Linked DNA regions of Arabidopsis thaliana. The protein of the gene in region 2 purifies or fractionates together with the protein of the main gene of each other region. This does not show direct contact. Each region holds a gene or a part of one and is shown on either strand. Other genes may lie near its edges. The genes, in order: AT2G07727, PPR40, AT5G25450 and AT5G13430.

The links.
Region 1: the proteins of PPR40 (region 2) and AT2G07727 fractionate together in Arabidopsis thaliana (co-fractionation; one study listed by BioGRID). This does not show direct contact.
Region 3: the proteins of PPR40 (region 2) and AT5G25450 fractionate together in Arabidopsis thaliana (co-fractionation; one study listed by BioGRID). This does not show direct contact.
Region 4: the proteins of PPR40 (region 2) and AT5G13430 fractionate together in Arabidopsis thaliana (co-fractionation; one study listed by BioGRID). This does not show direct contact.

The regions. Positions count from the first base shown.
Region 1 is NC_003071.7:3,447,744-3,453,377, forward strand, and holds AT2G07727 (cytochrome b), read left to right. Parts: upstream 1-1,790; 5' UTR 1,791-3,119; coding exon 3,120-4,301; 3' UTR 4,302-5,033; downstream 5,034-5,634. Other genes in the region: AT2G07725 (Ribosomal L5P family protein), read left to right, coding at 659-1,216. UniProt on the Arabidopsis thaliana protein: Component of the ubiquinol-cytochrome c oxidoreductase, a multisubunit transmembrane complex that is part of the mitochondrial electron transport chain which drives oxidative phosphorylation.
Region 2 is NC_003074.8:5,767,404-5,772,172, reverse strand, and holds PPR40 (pentatricopeptide (PPR) domain protein 40), read left to right. Parts: upstream 1-1,736; 5' UTR 1,737-1,792; coding exon 1,793-3,772; 3' UTR 3,773-4,196; downstream 4,197-4,769. Other genes in the region: AT3G16900 (LURP-one-like protein (DUF567)), read right to left, coding at 1-67; AT3G16895 (Cysteine-rich protein), read left to right, coding at 657-741, 985-1,151; AT3G16880 (F-box and associated interaction domains-containing protein), read right to left, coding at 4,343-4,769. UniProt on the Arabidopsis thaliana protein: Required for the ubiquinol-cytochrome c oxidoreductase activity of mitochondrial complex III.
Region 3 is NC_003076.8:8,855,062-8,859,130, forward strand, and holds AT5G25450 (Cytochrome bd ubiquinol oxidase, 14kDa subunit), read left to right. Parts: upstream 1-1,855; 5' UTR 1,856-1,974; coding exon 1,975-2,068; intron 2,069-2,149; coding exon 2,150-2,307; coding exon of another isoform or gene 2,308-2,325; exon of another isoform or gene 2,326-2,587; coding exon 2,588-2,635; intron 2,636-2,719; coding exon 2,720-2,788; 3' UTR 2,789-3,415; downstream 3,416-4,069. Other genes in the region: AT5G25440 (Protein kinase superfamily protein), read right to left, coding at 1-194, 291-417, 500-642, 998-1,133, 1,259-1,512, 1,604-1,661. UniProt on the Arabidopsis thaliana protein: Component of the ubiquinol-cytochrome c oxidoreductase, a multisubunit transmembrane complex that is part of the mitochondrial electron transport chain which drives oxidative phosphorylation.
Region 4 is NC_003076.8:4,304,446-4,309,393, forward strand, and holds AT5G13430 (Ubiquinol-cytochrome C reductase iron-sulfur subunit), read right to left. Parts: upstream 3,126-4,948; 5' UTR 2,955-3,125; coding exon 2,780-2,954; intron 1,613-2,779; coding exon 969-1,612; 3' UTR 661-968; downstream 1-660. Other genes in the region: AT5G13440 (Ubiquinol-cytochrome C reductase iron-sulfur subunit), read right to left, coding at 3,986-4,629. UniProt on the Arabidopsis thaliana protein: Component of the ubiquinol-cytochrome c oxidoreductase, a multisubunit transmembrane complex that is part of the mitochondrial electron transport chain which drives oxidative phosphorylation.

The DNA.
Region 1 (5,634 bases), on a different chromosome or scaffold from region 2:
AGTGGTATGGATGTTTGGAGCTCAATCCATCGAATTCACTCGCTTCTTTGCGCTGCGTTGTAGCTCTTAGATTATTGGGAGGAGGTCATTTCGAATGTTTTGTAATTTGGAATCGTTTTTTCTTCAAGGCACGGCTTCTTGAATCGTCTTTGTCTTGTAGAATGGTTGTCATCTGGAATCTAACTAAATAGTTAGTTAAGAAGACGCGTGCTTTGTTTGGTTTTGATCTGGAATTTCACTATAAGATAAGATAAGAGTGAAGTGCTTTGTTTGGGCAATCTGCCTCCCTAAATCTAGTGGAGGTCCCGGTCCCGCCGCTCCTGTTTGTAATGGGGCCGCTTTGTGCCAAATGTGTAAGTTGTTTTTTCAATCCGTTCTAACTGTAATAAGAGAAGAGGGAAGTCCGTCTAAAGAAATTAGTGAAGGAAAGTTATATGGATGTTCATTAGTTCAGTAAAGTGTTAGTAATGTTGCTGGGAGTAACCCTTTGATCTGATCTGTCTTTGTACGTGTTATCTTGCGAGGCTGTCAGGTTGGCTTGTGAGGATGGGGAGAAAGCGGGCCGAGAATCTTATGTCAAAAGGACCAAGGATGATCTTTTCGGAAAGGAGGAGTAGGAGGAGTCAGCTTATTCTATAGATACTGTAAAAGCCAACTCATGTTTCCACTCAATTTTCATTACGAAGATGTATCACGTCAAGATCCGTTGCTCAAACCGAATCACGCCAACGTTATGGAAGTTCCTGGATCGTGTGAAATAAGAGTAGTACCAAAGGCACCCTATAATTTCATAATAAAAAATGGAAAATTGGCTATGGAGATTCCGCGCGGTCAGAAATTCATACAGACACAAAGGGGTTCGACAGGAAAGTCCTTTCGATCTAATCCATTCTTGGGGTCAAATAAAGACAAAGGATATGTAAGTGACCTAGCACGACAAAGCACTCTCCGAGGGCATGGAATGTCTAATTTTTCGGTCAGAATCTCGACAGTAATGTCTCTATTAGATTTTCCGGTCGAAATACGGAAAAACTCCATTCAATTCTCGATGGAAACGGAGTTTTGCGAATTCTCCCCGGAACTGGAAGATCATTTCGAGATCTTCGAACATATTCGGGGGTTCAATGTGACTATTATCACTTCGGCCAACACACAAGATGAGACTTTACCACTGTGGAGCGGTTTTTTGCAAAAAGATGAGGGGGAAACTCAGTAAGATGTCGTAGAAGCAAAATAGTAGAGATCACAAACGTAGATTGCTCGCGGCTAAATTTGAATTGAGACGAAAGCTTTATAAAGCCTTTTGTAAAGATCCCGATCTTCCTAGTGATATGCGGGACAAACATTGTTATAAGTTGTCCAAGTTGCCAAGAAATAGTTCCTTTGCACGAGTCAGAAACCGATGTATTTCCACGGTCGCCCTCGTTCTGTATCTGAGTTCTTTCGAATTTCTCGTATCGTTTTTCGTGGATTAGCATCTCGAGGTTCTTTGATGGGCATAAATAAATCGTCTTGGTAGCAACCACCAAACCAATAGAACAAAGAAAGGTTAGCTCCGCAGCTGGTCCACAAGCAAGGTAAGTAAGCCCATTACCAGCCGGCTCCGGACCGAAAAGTAACGTATTTAAAACCCTTATCTTGGATCGGAGATGCGAACGGGGCGGGAATCGAAGTGGGGGACCTCTCTACCGCTTGTGTCTATTTCCTGTCAAGTATGCTCCCCATACATAGACTACGTACAGGTAGTACTCTTGGAAAGAAAGATATAATGCATGAACATAACATTAACTTACGAATGTAACTCCCGACCACTCTTCTAAATATACTAAGGCGGAGAACTCTTGTTCATTGGAGCGCCGTAGTGCGGAGGTTCTTCCCATCATGGAAGTCCGAGTTGGGACTGAGCCTTCCGAATGATAATGCTTTGTTTCGTTGGAAAAACCAACGCAAATCTCATATTGACTTTCTATCGCCCTACTTCTAAGGATAGATAGAGAGAGTTACTTTATGAAATTATCTCCCTTCTAAAGCAGCGCAAGTCGGCCCCCCCAGAACAAAGCCCCTACTCCCGAGAGGTATAAATGACTCGACTAAAAGGAGAGGTATTTATTACTCGAGCACTTGTTGCGAGAGGTCCAACGTAATTTATTACTCTTATAAAAGAGGGAACTCGACTGAAAGGAGAGGTTGTTTACATACTCGACTAAAAGGAGAGGTCCAAATGGACTTCTGTGAATTACAGTGATCCAGTCTCACGGATATGGAGCTTCGCCGGAGATGGCAGGGCAAAACCTGATGGACCTTTTTTTTTTTTTTCTCAAGAGGTGATTTCGAGAATCAACCAACCGACGAGACTAATTCGAGGATGTGTTAAAAGAGAGTCTAACCGCCAAGGCAAGTCCCATGGATAAGCCCCAGCCTCCCTCTCGTTTCACTCTCGTTCCTCTCCTTACAGTCGAGCTCCTTTGTTCCTTCGGACCTCTCGCCCAAATGAAATGGGATGAATCCAATCAATAAGCTTATTGATTGATTCAGAGCGCAGCGAAGCCAAATTCAATCAAGGCAAAGGGGGGCTTACTTTTCCTGACGCTGAGTCATCCTATTCAAATTTAGCTATGCTAATGTAACAGGAAAAGTTTTCACAGATGATATGGATCCCAAGAGATGAGCGAGAACCTCCAATTGCTTAAGGATCGCACTCCGCTATCCCGCTTGGTGGACGAGATCTTCTCTCGGGTCATCCATCCTGGGTTACTGAAGGGTTGTCCGACTGCTCGGTGACCGAATCAGAGAAGTTTTGACCGCTTTCTCTTCTCTCCAGCACTCTCGGACTGATCATCCAATCCATCTTGCTGCGACAAAGCAAGCTTAGGAATGAATCTAAGAAATTTAGGTCTCTGCCCGCTTGAAAGATTCTTCTTTCCTTTTCGGTGAAAGAGGGCAAAAGTGTGTAGGAGAAAGAATTCTAAAAACGTCGACGCTTAATTCGCCCCCTCCATCCTTCAAAAGTAAAAGAAAGGCTCAAATATCAATATTATATATATATTTGAGGATATTTTAGGGCCCTAGAACGCAAAAAAAAGGTGGGTGAACAAGAGTTGTCACGATAGGAAAGAGAAATGACTATAAGGAACCAACGATTCTCTCTTCTTAAACAACCTATATCCTCCACACTTAATCAGCATTTAGTAGATTATCCAACCCCGAGCAATCTTAGTTATTGGTGGGGGTTCGGTCCGTTAGCTGGTATTTGTTTAGTCATTCAGATAGTGACTGGCGTTTTTTTAGCTATGCATTACACACCTCATGTGGATTTAGCTTTCAACAGCGTAGAACACATTATGAGAGATGTTGAAGGGGGCTGGTTGCTCCGTTATATGCATGCTAATGGGGCAAGTATGTTTCTTATTGTGGTTTACCTTCATATTTTTCGTGGTCTATATCATGCGAGTTATAGCAGTCCTAGGGAATTTGTTTGGTGTCTTGGAGTTGTAATCTTCCTATTAATGATTGTGACAGCTTTTATAGGATATGTACTACCTTGGGGTCAGATGAGCTTTTGGGGAGCTACAGTAATTACAAGCTTAGCTAGCGCCATACCTGTAGTAGGAGATACCATAGTGACTTGGCTTTGGGGTGGTTTCTCCGTGGACAATGCCACCTTAAATCGTTTTTTTAGTCTTCATCATTTACTCCCCTTTATTTTAGTAGGCGCCAGTCTTCTTCATCTGGCCGCATTGCATCAATATGGATCAAATAATCCATTGGGTGTACATTCTGAGATGGATAAAATAGCTTTTTACCCTTATTTTTATGTCAAGGATCTAGTTGGTTGGGTAGCTTTTGCTATCTTTTTTTCTATTTGGATTTTTTATGCTCCTAATGTTTTGGGACATCCCGACAATTATATACCTGCTAATCCGATGTCCACCCCGCCTCATATTGTGCCGGAATGGTATTTCCTACCGATCCATGCCATTCTTCGTAGTATACCTGACAAAGCGGGAGGTGTAGCCGCAATAGCACCAGTTTTTATATGTCTCTTGGCTTTACCTTTTTTTAAAAGTATGTATGTGCGTAGTTCAAGTTTTCGACCGATTCACCAAGGAATGTTTTGGTTGCTTTTGGCGGATTGCTTACTACTAGGTTGGATCGGATGTCAACCTGTGGAGGCACCATTTGTTACTATTGGACAAATTTCTCCTTTGGTTTTCTTCTTGTTCTTTGCCATAACGCCCATTCTGGGACGAGTTGGAAGAGGAATTCCTAATTCTTACACGGATGAGACTGATCACACCTGATCAGTGAAAAATTCTGACACCAATCATTTACATATTACACCAAGAATTGACAAGCAGATAAGTTTTCTAGTTTGCTATGTTGATATAGCTTAGATAGGGAAAAGATAACTCCACTATAGAGTAGGGCTGTACTTCAAAAATCAAAAAGGGTCCCTCTCCCCCTTTTTTTATTAAAAAATCAAAAAAGAGGCCCCGCCCCCCAAGGCCTAAGGAAAAAACCTCTGATAAAGAAAGAAAAAATATAGAACTAACCTTTACACTATAACCATTAAGTCAAGTTATTAACAATCCTATACTAAGAGGAGAATTCGGATCAGCTCGGGCGGAAGAGGAGAGGCGAAGAAGAAGACAATAAGCACTCAGATTGGACCAACCTTTCATTTAAGGTTCGTCATTATCTTTTCAATCCTGACTAGAATCAGGCTTCTCTTGAAAAAAGGTAAGGAGTTATTCGATATAATATGGTATTAACCCTAGCGCCTAAGTCACCCCCGCAAGGTAGGAAGAAGATAAAGGAGAAAGTGAACGGAGGAAAAAAAGGCGATAAGCGAACCGGCGGGCGGTAAAAACCACAAAGAATTTATATAGAAAAATAGGTACTACCAATATGAAATTAAGAAAGACATATATACCTGAAACAAAATTCTGTAATGACTATGTGACCATGAAGGGAGTAGTTGATTCGCGTTCCAATTCATTGGCAAAATCCGGTATAAATATAATAATATAACGAGATCGTCGTCTTGACAAAGATGAATAGAAAGAGTGCTTTTTTTTTAATGGTAACAATTCTTATTGTTTTTTTTTCTTCGAAGGAAGATCTTTCTTTGACTAAAAAGGTTTCCATTTTTAATAGATTGTTTGTGGTTGTACCTTTACTGCAAGAATATAAATGACTCGCTATTCACTCGAGGTTTCTGGGTCATAATGTAGGAGAGATGGCCGAGTGGTTTAAGGCGTAGCATTGGAACTGCTATGTAGGCTTTTGTTTACCGAGGGTTCGAATCCCTCTCTTTCCGTACCTTTACCTAATTCACCAACGTTACCGACCGCGCAATACCAATCGAGACCTCTAAGACGAACTAAAGGGATGTCTCTAAGCAGCCAAGGCCAAGAGCAAGCAGGAGTGGTCCTATCCGCCCATTCATTTTTAAGTGACTTATAAGACGTGAGAGATACTCTAAAGTCATAACGGGGAAGGCCAGAGACTTCGTTCAAATGGGGGGAGGTTTTCTCTTCAATAAAATGAAAGGCAGGTATTTTTATACGAAAATTGAGAATTCAATAATAAATGTTCACTTGAGATTAGGTTCGCGAAGAAGAAGATCACAAA
Region 2 (4,769 bases):
GACGAACAAACTCAGATCCTACGAGTGGTAGCATCGTGTTGCTGCTAGTGGGATCTTGTTTTGCCATTGTTGTTTGTTTCAAAGAAGATGATTAAAAAAAAAACAAGACATTTATCAACTTTCAACTTATTGATCTTTTTGGTCATCATGACTTTTTCCTAATTTATTATGAAACTAAAAAATATTTATTAACAAAAACAATAATGACTTTACAGATAATATTTAATTTTCCTTTCAATTTGTTTTGTCAATATCAATTTTGAAATCAGTTAAAATTTATAATATACCTAATTATAAAAAAAAAATTTCCAATATTGAATTATGAAATTAAAATCTCGCATTTAACTTGAGATATTGATTGAACATAATGACAACATATCCAACAAATTACCTTTGACCATATTCACAAGTGTCACACACTTTTTTCAATTTTTAAGTTCTCATTTAGGATTATTAATTGTAAATAATTATATATTCATAAATGTAAATGATTTTTTTTGCCAAAAATAAAAAACTTTGAGAAACAAAAATGGATCATCAATTAATTGTAATAAAACAAACTGAAGACCAAAAGTTATATATAAATAGTCAATCCTTAAGATCCTAAACAATAAAAACATTTGAATACCTCAAAAGAGTTCATAGAAAAATTTATTATGGGTAGTACGAAAACTTTGGTGACATGTTTCCTTGTAATAATACTTGCAGTTTCGTTGCCTAACAACAACGTTTTGGCTTCAGGTATTTTCAAAGTTTGGTTTAGCTATTTTGCAATTTAGTAGTGATCATTTCAAAGGCTATATATCTAAATATTTGGAATTCGTTATGATCACGTTTTTGTTTATATATATATTATACATGAATTCAAAAGTTTCGTTAAAAACTTTTATTTGGACATGTTATATAACTATTTTTTATTGGAATGATATAAAATTTACACATGTTGGTATTGATGATGTTTGATATATATGTGGACTTGTGTAGATGCAAGGATCGAAGGCTTCTCTTTTGACAACTGCAATATTAGGTGTTCCGAAGATTACTGGAATGATGAATGTAATAAGGACTGTCTTAGAGCTGGCTTTCAAAAAGGTGGACAGTGTGGTTCTCCTTGTATTCCATGTCCAGTGAAATGTTGTTGTCAAAAGTAATACAAACTTATAAATCCATTTTCTCTCAAAATTGATGATTCTAGCGTTGCCTTTATTTTCTCTAAGTTATTGGACTTGATTTGTATCTTATTCTTATAAATAAATGCAATGATATAAGAAAACTATATATATTGCAATAGTAATTTTTATAACATATTATTAATCATACATAAATAGCATAATAATGACTTCATCACAACTCTTTTTATTACATCTCTCATTAGCAATAACTTAATATTATCATAATATATTTTTGAAGATGAAGATGGAAATATTTAGTCAATGCTACAATTTAAGATAGAAATTAGAAAATTATCACTTAGAAATATAATTATTACAAGAAAATTAAAATTCATAGTAATCAAGAGATGGATAAACTATAATGAAAACCCTCATTTTCATGGTGGCAATGGAAGAGTCATTAGGATCAACCAAAATTCTTTTGTTTTTGTTTGTTTCAAAGGAGATGATCTTTTTGGTCATGACTTTTTCTTAATTTATTCTGAAACTAAAAAAAAAATTATTAAATTCGAACACATATTGATATTGGTGTATTAAACAGCGTCGTTTAGGAAACATCGTCTTGAGGTTAGAGACCAAATCAATGTTTCACTTGCACTCAGCTCCGTTCTGGTCACGACATGAGAGGCTTTGCTTCTTCAGCATCTAGAATAGCGACGGCGGCAGCAGCTTCCAAATCACTAAACGCTTCCACATCCGTAAACCCTAAGCTCTCAAAAACCCTAAACTCTTCAGGTAAACCCACCAATCCTCTGAACCAGCGTTACATTTCGCAAGTCATAGAGAGAAAAGATTGGTTTTTGATACTGAATCAAGAATTCACCACTCATCGAATTGGTCTCAACACTCGATTCGTCATCAGCGTTTTGCAGAATCAAGACAACCCATTACACTCCCTGCGATTTTACCTCTGGGTCTCCAACTTCGACCCGGTTTACGCTAAGGATCAGTCTCTGAAGAGTGTTCTAGGGAACGCACTTTTTCGTAAAGGCCCCTTATTGTTGTCTATGGAATTGCTTAAAGAGATTAGAGATTCAGGGTATCGGATTAGTGATGAATTGATGTGTGTTTTGATCGGAAGCTGGGGAAGATTAGGTTTAGCTAAGTACTGTAATGATGTTTTTGCTCAGATATCTTTTCTTGGAATGAAACCAAGTACAAGGCTTTATAATGCTGTGATTGATGCGTTGGTGAAGTCTAATTCACTTGATTTGGCTTACCTCAAGTTTCAGCAGATGCGTAGTGATGGCTGTAAACCGGATCGGTTTACCTATAATATACTTATACATGGTGTTTGCAAGAAGGGTGTGGTTGATGAAGCTATTCGATTGGTTAAACAGATGGAACAGGAAGGGAATAGACCCAATGTGTTCACATACACGATTTTGATCGACGGGTTTTTGATAGCAGGGAGGGTTGATGAGGCGTTGAAGCAATTGGAGATGATGCGGGTGAGAAAGTTGAATCCTAATGAAGCTACAATCAGAACTTTCGTACACGGGATTTTCCGTTGCTTGCCGCCGTGTAAAGCGTTTGAGGTTTTGGTTGGGTTTATGGAGAAAGACTCAAACTTGCAAAGAGTTGGTTACGATGCTGTGTTGTATTGTCTTTCAAACAACTCAATGGCTAAAGAGACTGGTCAATTCTTGAGGAAGATAGGTGAGAGAGGTTATATTCCGGATAGCTCAACATTCAATGCTGCGATGAGTTGTCTCCTAAAAGGGCATGATCTTGTTGAGACTTGTAGGATATTTGACGGTTTTGTCAGCCGTGGAGTTAAGCCAGGATTCAATGGTTATCTTGTGTTAGTTCAAGCTCTGTTGAATGCTCAGAGGTTCTCTGAAGGTGACCGGTATCTGAAACAAATGGGTGTTGACGGGCTTCTATCAAGTGTATATAGTTATAATGCGGTAATTGACTGTCTCTGCAAGGCTCGACGCATAGAGAATGCAGCTATGTTCTTAACAGAGATGCAGGATAGAGGTATTTCTCCGAATCTCGTAACTTTCAATACCTTTCTGAGCGGTTATAGCGTGAGGGGTGATGTAAAGAAGGTTCACGGCGTGCTAGAGAAGCTTCTTGTACATGGTTTCAAACCAGACGTGATCACTTTCAGTTTGATCATAAACTGTCTTTGCAGAGCAAAAGAAATTAAAGATGCATTTGACTGTTTCAAGGAGATGTTGGAATGGGGTATTGAGCCAAACGAGATCACATACAATATCTTGATTCGCTCCTGTTGTTCCACCGGAGATACCGATAGATCAGTGAAGCTGTTTGCGAAGATGAAGGAAAACGGGTTAAGTCCAGACCTTTATGCGTACAATGCGACTATTCAGAGTTTTTGCAAGATGAGAAAGGTTAAGAAGGCTGAGGAATTGCTTAAAACAATGCTGAGAATTGGTTTGAAACCAGATAACTTTACATATAGCACTCTCATCAAAGCTCTAAGTGAATCTGGAAGAGAGAGTGAAGCAAGAGAGATGTTCAGTTCAATCGAAAGACATGGATGTGTTCCAGATTCATATACTAAGCGTCTTGTTGAAGAACTTGACCTAAGAAAAAGTGGACTCTCGAGAGAAACCGTGTCAGCCTCATAGAAATTGAATCCTCGAGAGTGTGAATATCCTATGAAGGCTTAGAAACCGGAAAAGTGGGTTCGTTTCATTTGGAAATGTCTGAGAAAGAACCCGATCTTTGCCACGGGTTGCCTCTTTGATGCAGACGGAAGAGAAACAGAACATGAGTGCAAAATGCAGAACAGAGTATTAAGTTTTGTTCTTTTGATTGATCAAAGCTTTTATATATTTCTGAGTCCGAGAAAGTGGCGGCAATAGTAATGGCAGTTGGTTGGTACTTGACAGTCAAAAGGCAAAAGATTTTGTATGTTTAGCACTAGATAGCCTTGGCCCTAATTTATACCCTTACCGTGTAACAGTTTAGGAAACAACAGTTTTGCCAGATTATATTGGACATGAGTATTGAATGATTTTGTTGTTTCGATCTCAAACTAGTATGCTTAACAATCTTTTTTTCAACGTAAGAGATGAGAAACGAACTAAGAATAGACCAATATTGTTCAGGAATCAGGAAGCTGAGAAAAGAAGACAAAGCAAGAGTAGTAGTAATTAAACAATGCAAGAACCAAATATTTGGGTATTGTAAATGGACTAGTTGCTTTTGCCTTTTGCCAGTTGCTTGATTTCCACTGAACTTGGTACATAAGAGCACCTAACAGGAAAACTTTCAGAATCTCCGAGATCCACTTTTCTGAAGTATCCATTCTCTCCAATGATGTAAGCTGTGATACGGTTTCTCATCTCTTTGTCCTTATCAAAAACCACAACTACTTTCTTCTCCTCGTCAATGAAGAAAATTCCATCATCAATAATGAGTGGTTTCATGTCCACTGTTAAGAACAACTTTCCCCACGACACATTGTTGGGCTCAATCTTGTTAGTAATCCATATCTCCATCCTTGATATATTGCAGCGGTGAAGTAACACTGCAAGTTTCTCTTCTCTAACACTAGAGAGAGCCACAATATCTCCACAACGAGAGTGGAACGGCAGAGGCAGAGTCGGTCCAAATCTCTCT
Region 3 (4,069 bases), on a different chromosome or scaffold from region 2:
AAGCTCGCACATAAGTCTTCCCGCTTCAAGTGGATAGCTATTCTTCAAATCTGGATCGATCATCTCCACAATGTTGTACTTTTTATTTTTTATTTCTCGCTTTGCTGAGATTGTGAGGTCTTTTCCTAAACCAGTTAACATTTTAAGTAGTATAACACCAAAGCTATACACATCGCCCGCCATGTTCGACATCCCTTCATTTGATTAGTGCAATCAATTAAGGTTAGTCTCTTTGAATTTAATGGTCACTTTTAACTTTAAGATATAAGGAAGAAGCAGAAGATTGTTGCCTGAGAGTATGTATTCGGGAGGTGGGTATTGATATCTAGGTGCTACATTTGAAAACCCGATGGTGTATACCAATTCATCGAGAGAAACTTTTGGCTTTCCAAAATAGGAAACTCTTGCGTTGAAGTCCTGCATATCCCATAAATGTCACTTTAAAGGTAAGGAGCAAGTATTCAAGAAAAAAAACAAAAAAGGCAAGGTGAATACAAACCGAGTCGAGCAGGATTTTCGAAGCAGTGAGATATCTGCGGTATAGACCGGCTTGCTTCCTAGAGTGCAAGAAGGCAAGACACTGAGCCGCTCCTATGGATATCTTAAGTCGTGTCTCCCACGGCAATGACTTTGGACGACTATCTATGATATTATATAAACCATTAAATCCAAAAGGAAGATGAATTACTATTGGATCTAAGGTTAAGATCGTAAACTCGTGAGAGCTCCAGAAATCAATTTGAGCAACTCTCTTTATTCCCTCTCTATGATATTAAATTATCTAGGAATCATTTAGCTTGGTGTTCTTCAATTAGTATATTTTCCTCACTTCCACTAAATAAAGCTCTAATGAGCTATCTCAATTTTTAGATCTAGTTTTAAAGCTCTTATTAAGAGCTCTTACCTTTGGGTCTTGCTCGAGCAAGATTCTTCTTGCTTTGAGTCTACTCACAAGATATAATGACGAAAAGGAGATGAATAAACTTAACTTCCTTACCTCTACTGATGTAACTTCCTAAGCTTCCATTTGGAAAGTATTCAGAAACAATAAACAACATATCACGATCATAACAGTAGCCAATTAGCTTCACCAAGCTTGGATGAGAGTTATGTCGTAGAAACTCTACGTCAACCTACAAAAATATCATCTCTAATGTTAAGACACACTGACCCATCTCTAGGGGTAGGCAACATAGACATTTACCATCCAAAAACATCAAAAAATTTAGAAGAATAAATAAGTAACAAGAAACTTAACAATATTATTGGTTTTGCCGAAGGTTCTCCTATAGATTGAGATGATATAATTACTTACAAGCCAATCTTGAAAAGCTTGTTCATTGGCTAAGTAAATTTTCTTGACCGCGACGGCCATGCCAACACCTTTCTTGGCCGGAGATAACGTTTTGGGATTGATGTATCCCAAGCTCTCTCCTAGTTCCATCTGGTTTCCGAAATCATTAGTCGCTTTCTTCAGATCTGCCACCGTGAAGACTTTCACACCCTCCTCCACTATACATATATTATAACAAAACTTATATCCATTATAGTAACATTCAAATCAAAAGTACTTAAATCCGCAGAGAAATATATATATGTATACCTGATTTGGGAGCATTTGGTTCGGTGGGAAGTGTCGAAGCTGAGAGACAATTTCCCATTCGGATACTCTCTGCTAAATCTTAACACTAGAGTTCAATGAAGAAGAGAGGACTTTTAGTTTTTCACACCGAGGAGCAAAGTCAACGAAAACGCGTTTGAGAGTCAACGGTTGACGCGTTTTATTTGGTGAGTCATACGACGCCGTTTTTTGATAAGAGTACATACTACGCCGTTTGGCTAGAGTTTCATACGACGGCGTTTAAACAGATGTCTCTGGATGCTTCTTCCTTCTTCGTTCCCGGGTTAAATTACAAATAGCGGCGAAGGGGTTTCATCACAATTCACATCTTCAACGTTACTCCGAAGAAGATAATGGCGTCGTTTCTCCAGAGACTAGTAGATCCCAGGAAGAATTTCTTAGCTCGTATGCATATGAAGTCTGTTTCTAATCGCCTCCGCAGATACGGTACTCTTTCTTTCTCTCTTACCCTAGAAACCAAACCCTAATTCTCTTCTGGCTGATTTTGGGAATTTTACGATTTTTTAGGTCTTAGATACGACGATCTTTATGATCCTTTGTATGATTTGGATATTAAAGAAGCTCTTAATCGTTTACCGAGAGAGATTGTTGATGCTCGGAACCAGCGTCTTATGCGTGCAATGGATCTTTCTATGAAACATGAATACCTCCCAGATAATCTTCAGGTATGTTTTAGTCTCTAAGTAAGTGACAACAGAGCTAAAACGGTATATAGCTATGGAGTTTGTAGATAGAGCTTGCAAGATTTGACTTAAGACTTGTATTAGGATCAAGAACACTCTGTTTTCAGAAACCTGTTTTGGTTCTGTAATATAATTGTAACTTGATAAGCTTTGTAAGATCTTGTCTATGAAAGAAGTTTTTTTTGAGATAGTGCTTGTTAGTTGTGAGATAGGAAGCTTATGTAAATCTTTTTTTCTTTTCCTTGTCTCTGTAATTCCACAGGCAGTGCAGACTCCATTCAGGAGCTACCTCCAAGACATGTTGGCTCTTGTAAGAACAAAAACAGTTTTATCTATCTTGTAGTGATAGAAGAATCATATAGCAAAGTTCTAACACACGACACTTCATGTGCAGGTGAAGCGGGAGAGAGCTGAGAGAGAGGCTTTGGGAGCTTTACCTCTCTACCAAAGAACCATTCCTTAAGCATGTTAGTCTCTCTTGTGCTTATAGTAGGGTCACTGTTTTAGTACTCTTTAGGCTTCAATACCGCACAATTTGCTTTTGTATGGTTATGCATGGATATGTGAACCTTATGTATAAGATTTTATGAGATTGAATTGGATGTGTAATGTAAGCTTGATTGAGCTATTACAGAAATATGAGTAAAATATCCCACACCGGTAGGAGGAGAGTAAATCATGCTACATAAAGACATAAAGGCACACAAACCCTTAAGCTAGCTTTTGGAAATGTTTTCACAGTTCCTCATAGGAGCTCTGAAGAGAGGCGTGTAACCTCTGAACCACAATCCTTTATAACCCTTAGTTTGTCCTCTCAAATATGGGCTATAGCATTCAAATTATCTAGCACTTGTTGCATGGATGGTCTTTCCTTGGGATCTCTTTCAAGGCAGTTTTATGAGCTTGCACATACGCATCCCCTCTTCAACACGATAGCTATTCTCTAAATCTGGATCGATCATTTCCACAATGTTTTCTTTTCTATTCTCTGTTGCTTCCTCTGCTAAGATGATGCACGGGTTTCCCAAACCAGTTAAGATCTCAAATAGTATAACACCGAAGCTGTATACATCGCCCGCCATGTGTGATCTCCCTGTATATGCGTATTACCGTGCAATCAGTTTTAGGTTAGTGTATGAATTTTAATGGTCATTCTGTAGCTTGAGAGAGGACTTACCTGAGAATATGTATTCAGGAGGTTCGTAGTAAATTCTAAGAAATGCGCTCAATACAATTTTCTAGCTTGCTTACTCCTATAAATGTAACGCTCTAAGCTTCCGTTTGGAAAGTATTCAGAAACAATGAACAACAATTATCATCCGAACCGTAACCAATGAGCTTGACCAAGCTTGGATGCAGGTTATGTCGTAGAAACTCTAGGTCAACCTACAAACCTCGGCTGCCGTGTTAAGCATACATATATGAGTGATCAGTCTCTCTCGTAGAGGTTAATTTCTTACAAATCACTTTTGCAAGGCTTCTTCATAGGTTAAGTAAAATCTCTTAACGGCGATGGCCATGCCAACACCTTCCTTAGATGGAGATAACGTCTTGGGATTGATGTGTCTCCTCACACAGATTCATATATACCTGGAATTGTTGCAAGTTGTTCGGTTAGAAAACAGTTTCCCATGCCTATAAGATCCGCTTTCTTGACAGTTAAACAGAGTTTGAGGAAGAAGATGATTCACCTTACTTATCTAGATCTACTCCACCGGGCTTCAAGGTTCTGGAGTAAGCCATT
Region 4 (4,948 bases), on a different chromosome or scaffold from region 2:
ATACTAGATAACAAATTTATTTAATTTAGATAAATGTGATTTTTTACATCAGATGGTTTTAATAAACTTTCTCTAATGTATGATTAATCAGTCTGAAATTAGAAAACAATGAATAAAATAATAAGAGATAGAGCGGTGTCTTATGATAAACACGAGAGGTTGCTTAGTGAGGACCTTTGGCTTGTAATTAGTGTGTAATGGCCGTTGTTAGTTTGCAAGGGTCGGAGAAGTCACTTCCCATATCCCAAAAGGAAAACAACTTACAAGAGATAAGTCACTTCCCATATAGTTCATGGCCGTTGTTGGTGACCAAAACAAACAAGATTTTAACATTTTCATCTCCCACAATGGTTTTTACCCAAATCAAACTTTGGCTTTTGTGTGTCAAACATTTTTTCTTAACTAAAAAAGATTAAACAGAATAAAATATTATGTTTTTGTGTTCTTAGCCAATCTAGAAAAAATCTAGCTATGCCACTTTTGGATGATTGAATATTCATTCACGGGATGTCTTACGAATACAGTTTGAACTTATTCGGTTATCTTCCTGTAAACTATCAATCAAAGCTGATATATTACCTTTTGTTGTTTGTTTCTACGTTGGTTTTTCTCATACCTTTAGTTTTTCTTTTATGAACGTTGAGATACTATCGAAACTCAAATGTAAATACAACTTTTTAATTGGAATGACGATGTTTAGAATTATGAGATACGAAAGGAATCTCACTCATACATAGGACAAATAGGCATGTTAAATAATAAACACAGACTATGAACATAGTCGTCTTTTACTAGCGATGGATAAACGAAGATTGAGTATACTTCAAACAAAAATCACAAGTTTGTATTATTCAGCAAAAACAAGTCAATCTTGCTCTAACATGCCGGAAAATATTAATTAAAAGAAAAAAAGAACAAGTGAAGATCATCATTCAGATCCAGACTCTTGACTGTTGTGCTTTTATTAATCAACCGATGAGTAACTTATTCTCTTCCAGGAAGCTGTAGGTTGGTACTTCCAGGTTGTATGGTGCAGGACCTTTCCTAATTCTTCCAGATATATCGTAATGTGATCCGTGACACGGACAAAACCAACCACCATAATCACCAGCATTAGGCAAGGGGATGCACCCCAAATGAGTGCACACTCCAACAACCACTAACCATTCTGGATTCTTGACCCTAACCGAGTCTTCTTGTGGGTCCCTCAGGGATCCAACATCCACACTATTGGCCAGCTTGATGTCATCTTCTGTTCTTCGCCTGATGAAGACGGGCTTTCCACGCCACTTGACTGTCACGGTAGTTCCTGGTTCTATGCTCCCTAGGTCAACCTCAAGGGATGCAAGGGCAAGGACATCTTTACTTGCAGACATGCTCACAATAAGCTTCAAAACAAGCAGGCGGAGGACAGAGGCATAAACAAACCTCCCACCCGACAAGACAAAATAGGCGAATGCACGCTTGCTAGGGTCACCAGGTGGGTAACGCTCATGGTTATGGTCATCATAGACAATCTTTGAGTTAGGCGTTTTGACAGCTTCGACTGTGGCTGGGACTTCTGAACCAAAACCTATCTCATTTCCTTGAGCAAGGACTTGAGAAGAGAAGCCTGAAAATAGCATGAAACATTAATATTTCACATCAAAGGCAAACTTTATACTTGGTCAAGTGTTCTACAAGAATAAGAATAAGCCACAGGACTACCACAATCAAGATGTGACCATTGATGTATAATCTTCTAAGGAAAAACAAAAGTACATAAAACGGATTCCATGAAGTATGAGATCCATCCAAACAATTCAAACCATCGTATCAAACTCGGGGAGTGGAAACTTAAATACGATAATCTCCATAAAAAAAACAAGAGAACAAATTCAATGATCAACATGGAAACAGAAGAACAAAAAATTGGAATCTAGAAGCCAATGTGAATCACACTATGGATAACGCATTCCAATGATTTACAAGCAAGGAGCTTTAGTCATCAACCAAAGAATTACATCTAAACAGGTCAATCCATAATCCATCAATAAACTCAAATGTTCATTTCCTTCTGGACGAAAGAATGAATCAGAGAAGCCAAGTATACCAAATTCATCCAAACAAATCAATAATAACAAATTCAGTGAAACCTTAAATACTAAAACCAACGTAATAAACCAAGAGAAAAAAATATATTGATCAGATGCTGTATATTACAGAAACGCTTAAAACACAACAAAATTTCCAATGCTAAGAACAAACAAAGCTCTTTGGTTAAGAAAACATAAATTTCAGAATGCAAGTTCCTCAGCATGCCTTTAAACAGCTATAAATCCTACAAACATAGTATACAGTTAAAACATCCATGTCCCTAACAATGAAGAACTCAAAAGGATTGATACACAAGATCAAATTTCAAAAACCAAGAAGCCAGTGGTGAATCATACTATGATTAACGCACCGAAAAGAGGAAACTTTCCTAGTAAAACAAAGGATTATCTCAGAACTGAACAATCCACACGAAAGAAGTAATCATCAAATGCAATACAAATCCAGCAAGGAGAAGAATGTAGCCAAATGGTACATCAAGCTCATGGAATTCAAATCAGATGACACGTTTGTTCCCACGGATCATTGCAGATACAATACTAGAAATCTCAATCATTCCCGTGAATCATACAACCAAAAAAAGAAGACCTTTTCAAAAATCAATCAATCAAATAAAACTGCAAAGAACCACCGAAAATGAAAAATCAATGTAGAGAGAGAGGGAAAGGGTTATAAATCGGCAAACCTCTGATAAGGCTACGGTGGTAAGATGAGAGATCTGCAGAGGGGAGGGATCTGGGAGCTGAAGAGGAGTCGCCGCCACCATCGGAAAGGGTATGGTCACGGGAGACGACGAAGGAGGTCGCAGTCGAAGATCTCTGCGAGACAGAGAAAAGCCTCCTCCCTGCTACACGCAGCATCTCTCAGCTCAAATGTGAATCTAGGGTTTCGCTCTAGCTGAACAGAGAAATCCTCAGGTTTGGGACGGCCGATGCAAAACAAAACATAAGAGACTACTTACTAGTAAGTCCCTTAAAAATTGTCTTTGAGAAAAGGTCAATTTGTTTTGTTTTTTTTGGTTTTTGCGTATTACTTGATATTTTTTTACTTCAGGATTTTGATGGCATGGTTTTTTTTCTAATTTTAATTAATAAAATCTTTTGGTTTTACGATATAATTTTTTTGTGTGTGTGTATTTGTAAGATAAATTATTTTATTTGTATAAAAATCGTAATTTTTAATAATAATAATAGGGGGTCTATACTTGGTAAAGGATATATTTTGTTGTTGTAATGTTTAAACAAGATTTCCAACAAAAAGACTGTTTTACATCTGTGTGAACTTTTCAATACTAGAAGAAAGAGCTAGAAGGACATCATCAAAGAAGTAGTCATCGATGAAAACAATCTGAACAAGAAAATTAGGCTAAGATCCACAACCAGAATATGACATCTTTCATCAAAGTAGTAGTCTCGAGGTTCACAATTGGATTTCTCACTATGGAAGAGAAGGTTTATGGCTTAGTTGAGAATTGAAGGTCTTCGAAATGTCGTCTCCAGTAAGAACACGAAAGTTTTATAACACACCTTGAACCTTACCAAGTTTTTGTCTCAATTGTGATAATGGCTACAGACTTTAAGGAAAGGAAACTCTCTTACAAACGATATGTTACAAAATTACAAACATAAGAAAAATAGGGATGATACTATTCAAAACTCTTTTCAAATAATAAACAGAGACTATGAAGTATGAACAATGTATTTTCACCAGATGAGACAGATACTAAGTCATACAATGACAAGTTTGTATTATTCAGCAAAACAAGCCAATTTTTGCTGAGCCCAAAGTGTGAGGAAAGCGAACTTGCACGCTAAAATGCCGGAAAATATAAAAACAAAAACAGATTTAAGATCATCCAGACCATGACACTCGGACTGTTGTGCTTTATTCATTAACCAATGAGTAATTTATTCTCTTCCAAGAAGCTGTAGGTCGGTACTTCCAGGTTGTATGGTGCAGGACCTTTCCTAATTCTTCCAGATATATCGTAATGTGATCCGTGACACGGACAAAACCAACCACCATAATCACCAGCATTAGGCAAGGGGATGCACCCCAAATGAGTGCATACTCCAACCACGATCAACCATTCTGGATTCTTGACTCTAACCGAGTCTTCTTGTGGGTCCCTCAGGGATCCAACATCCACACTATTGGCCAGCTTGATGTCATCTTCTGTTCTTCGCCTGATGAAGACGGGCTTTCCACGCCACTTGACTGTCACGGTAGTTCCTGGTTCTATGCTCCCTAGGTCAACCTCGAGGGATGCAAGGGCAAGGACATCTTTACTTGCAGACATGCTCACAATAAGCTTCAGAACAAGCAGGCGGAGAACAGAGGCATAAACAAACCTTCCACCCGACAAGACAAAATAGGCGAATGCCCGCTTGCTAGGGTCACCAGGTGGGTAACGCTCATGGTTATGGTCGTCATAGACAATCTTTGAGTTAGGTGTTTTGACAGCTTCGACTGTGGCTGGGACTTCCGAACCAAAACCTATCTCATTTCCCTGAGTAATGACTTGAGAAGCAAAACCTGAAAATAGCATGAAACATTAATATTTCACATCAAGGGCAAACTTTATACTTGGTCAAGTGTTCAACAACACCAAGTATTAAGCAAAAATATTTTCAAGAGATAACACAGAAGAAAGGAATAACACTAGCAAACATTTAACATTAATGCATAGAATAACATAAGATTATAAAAACGGATTCCAAGAGATAACAGAAGGTGTCATCCAAACAATTTTCTACCATGATATCAAATTCAGTGAAAACTAAACTAATCTATCTAACGCAAGATCCAAGGAAGGAACTTCAATGATCATAAATGCTTAAAACATAAGAAAACT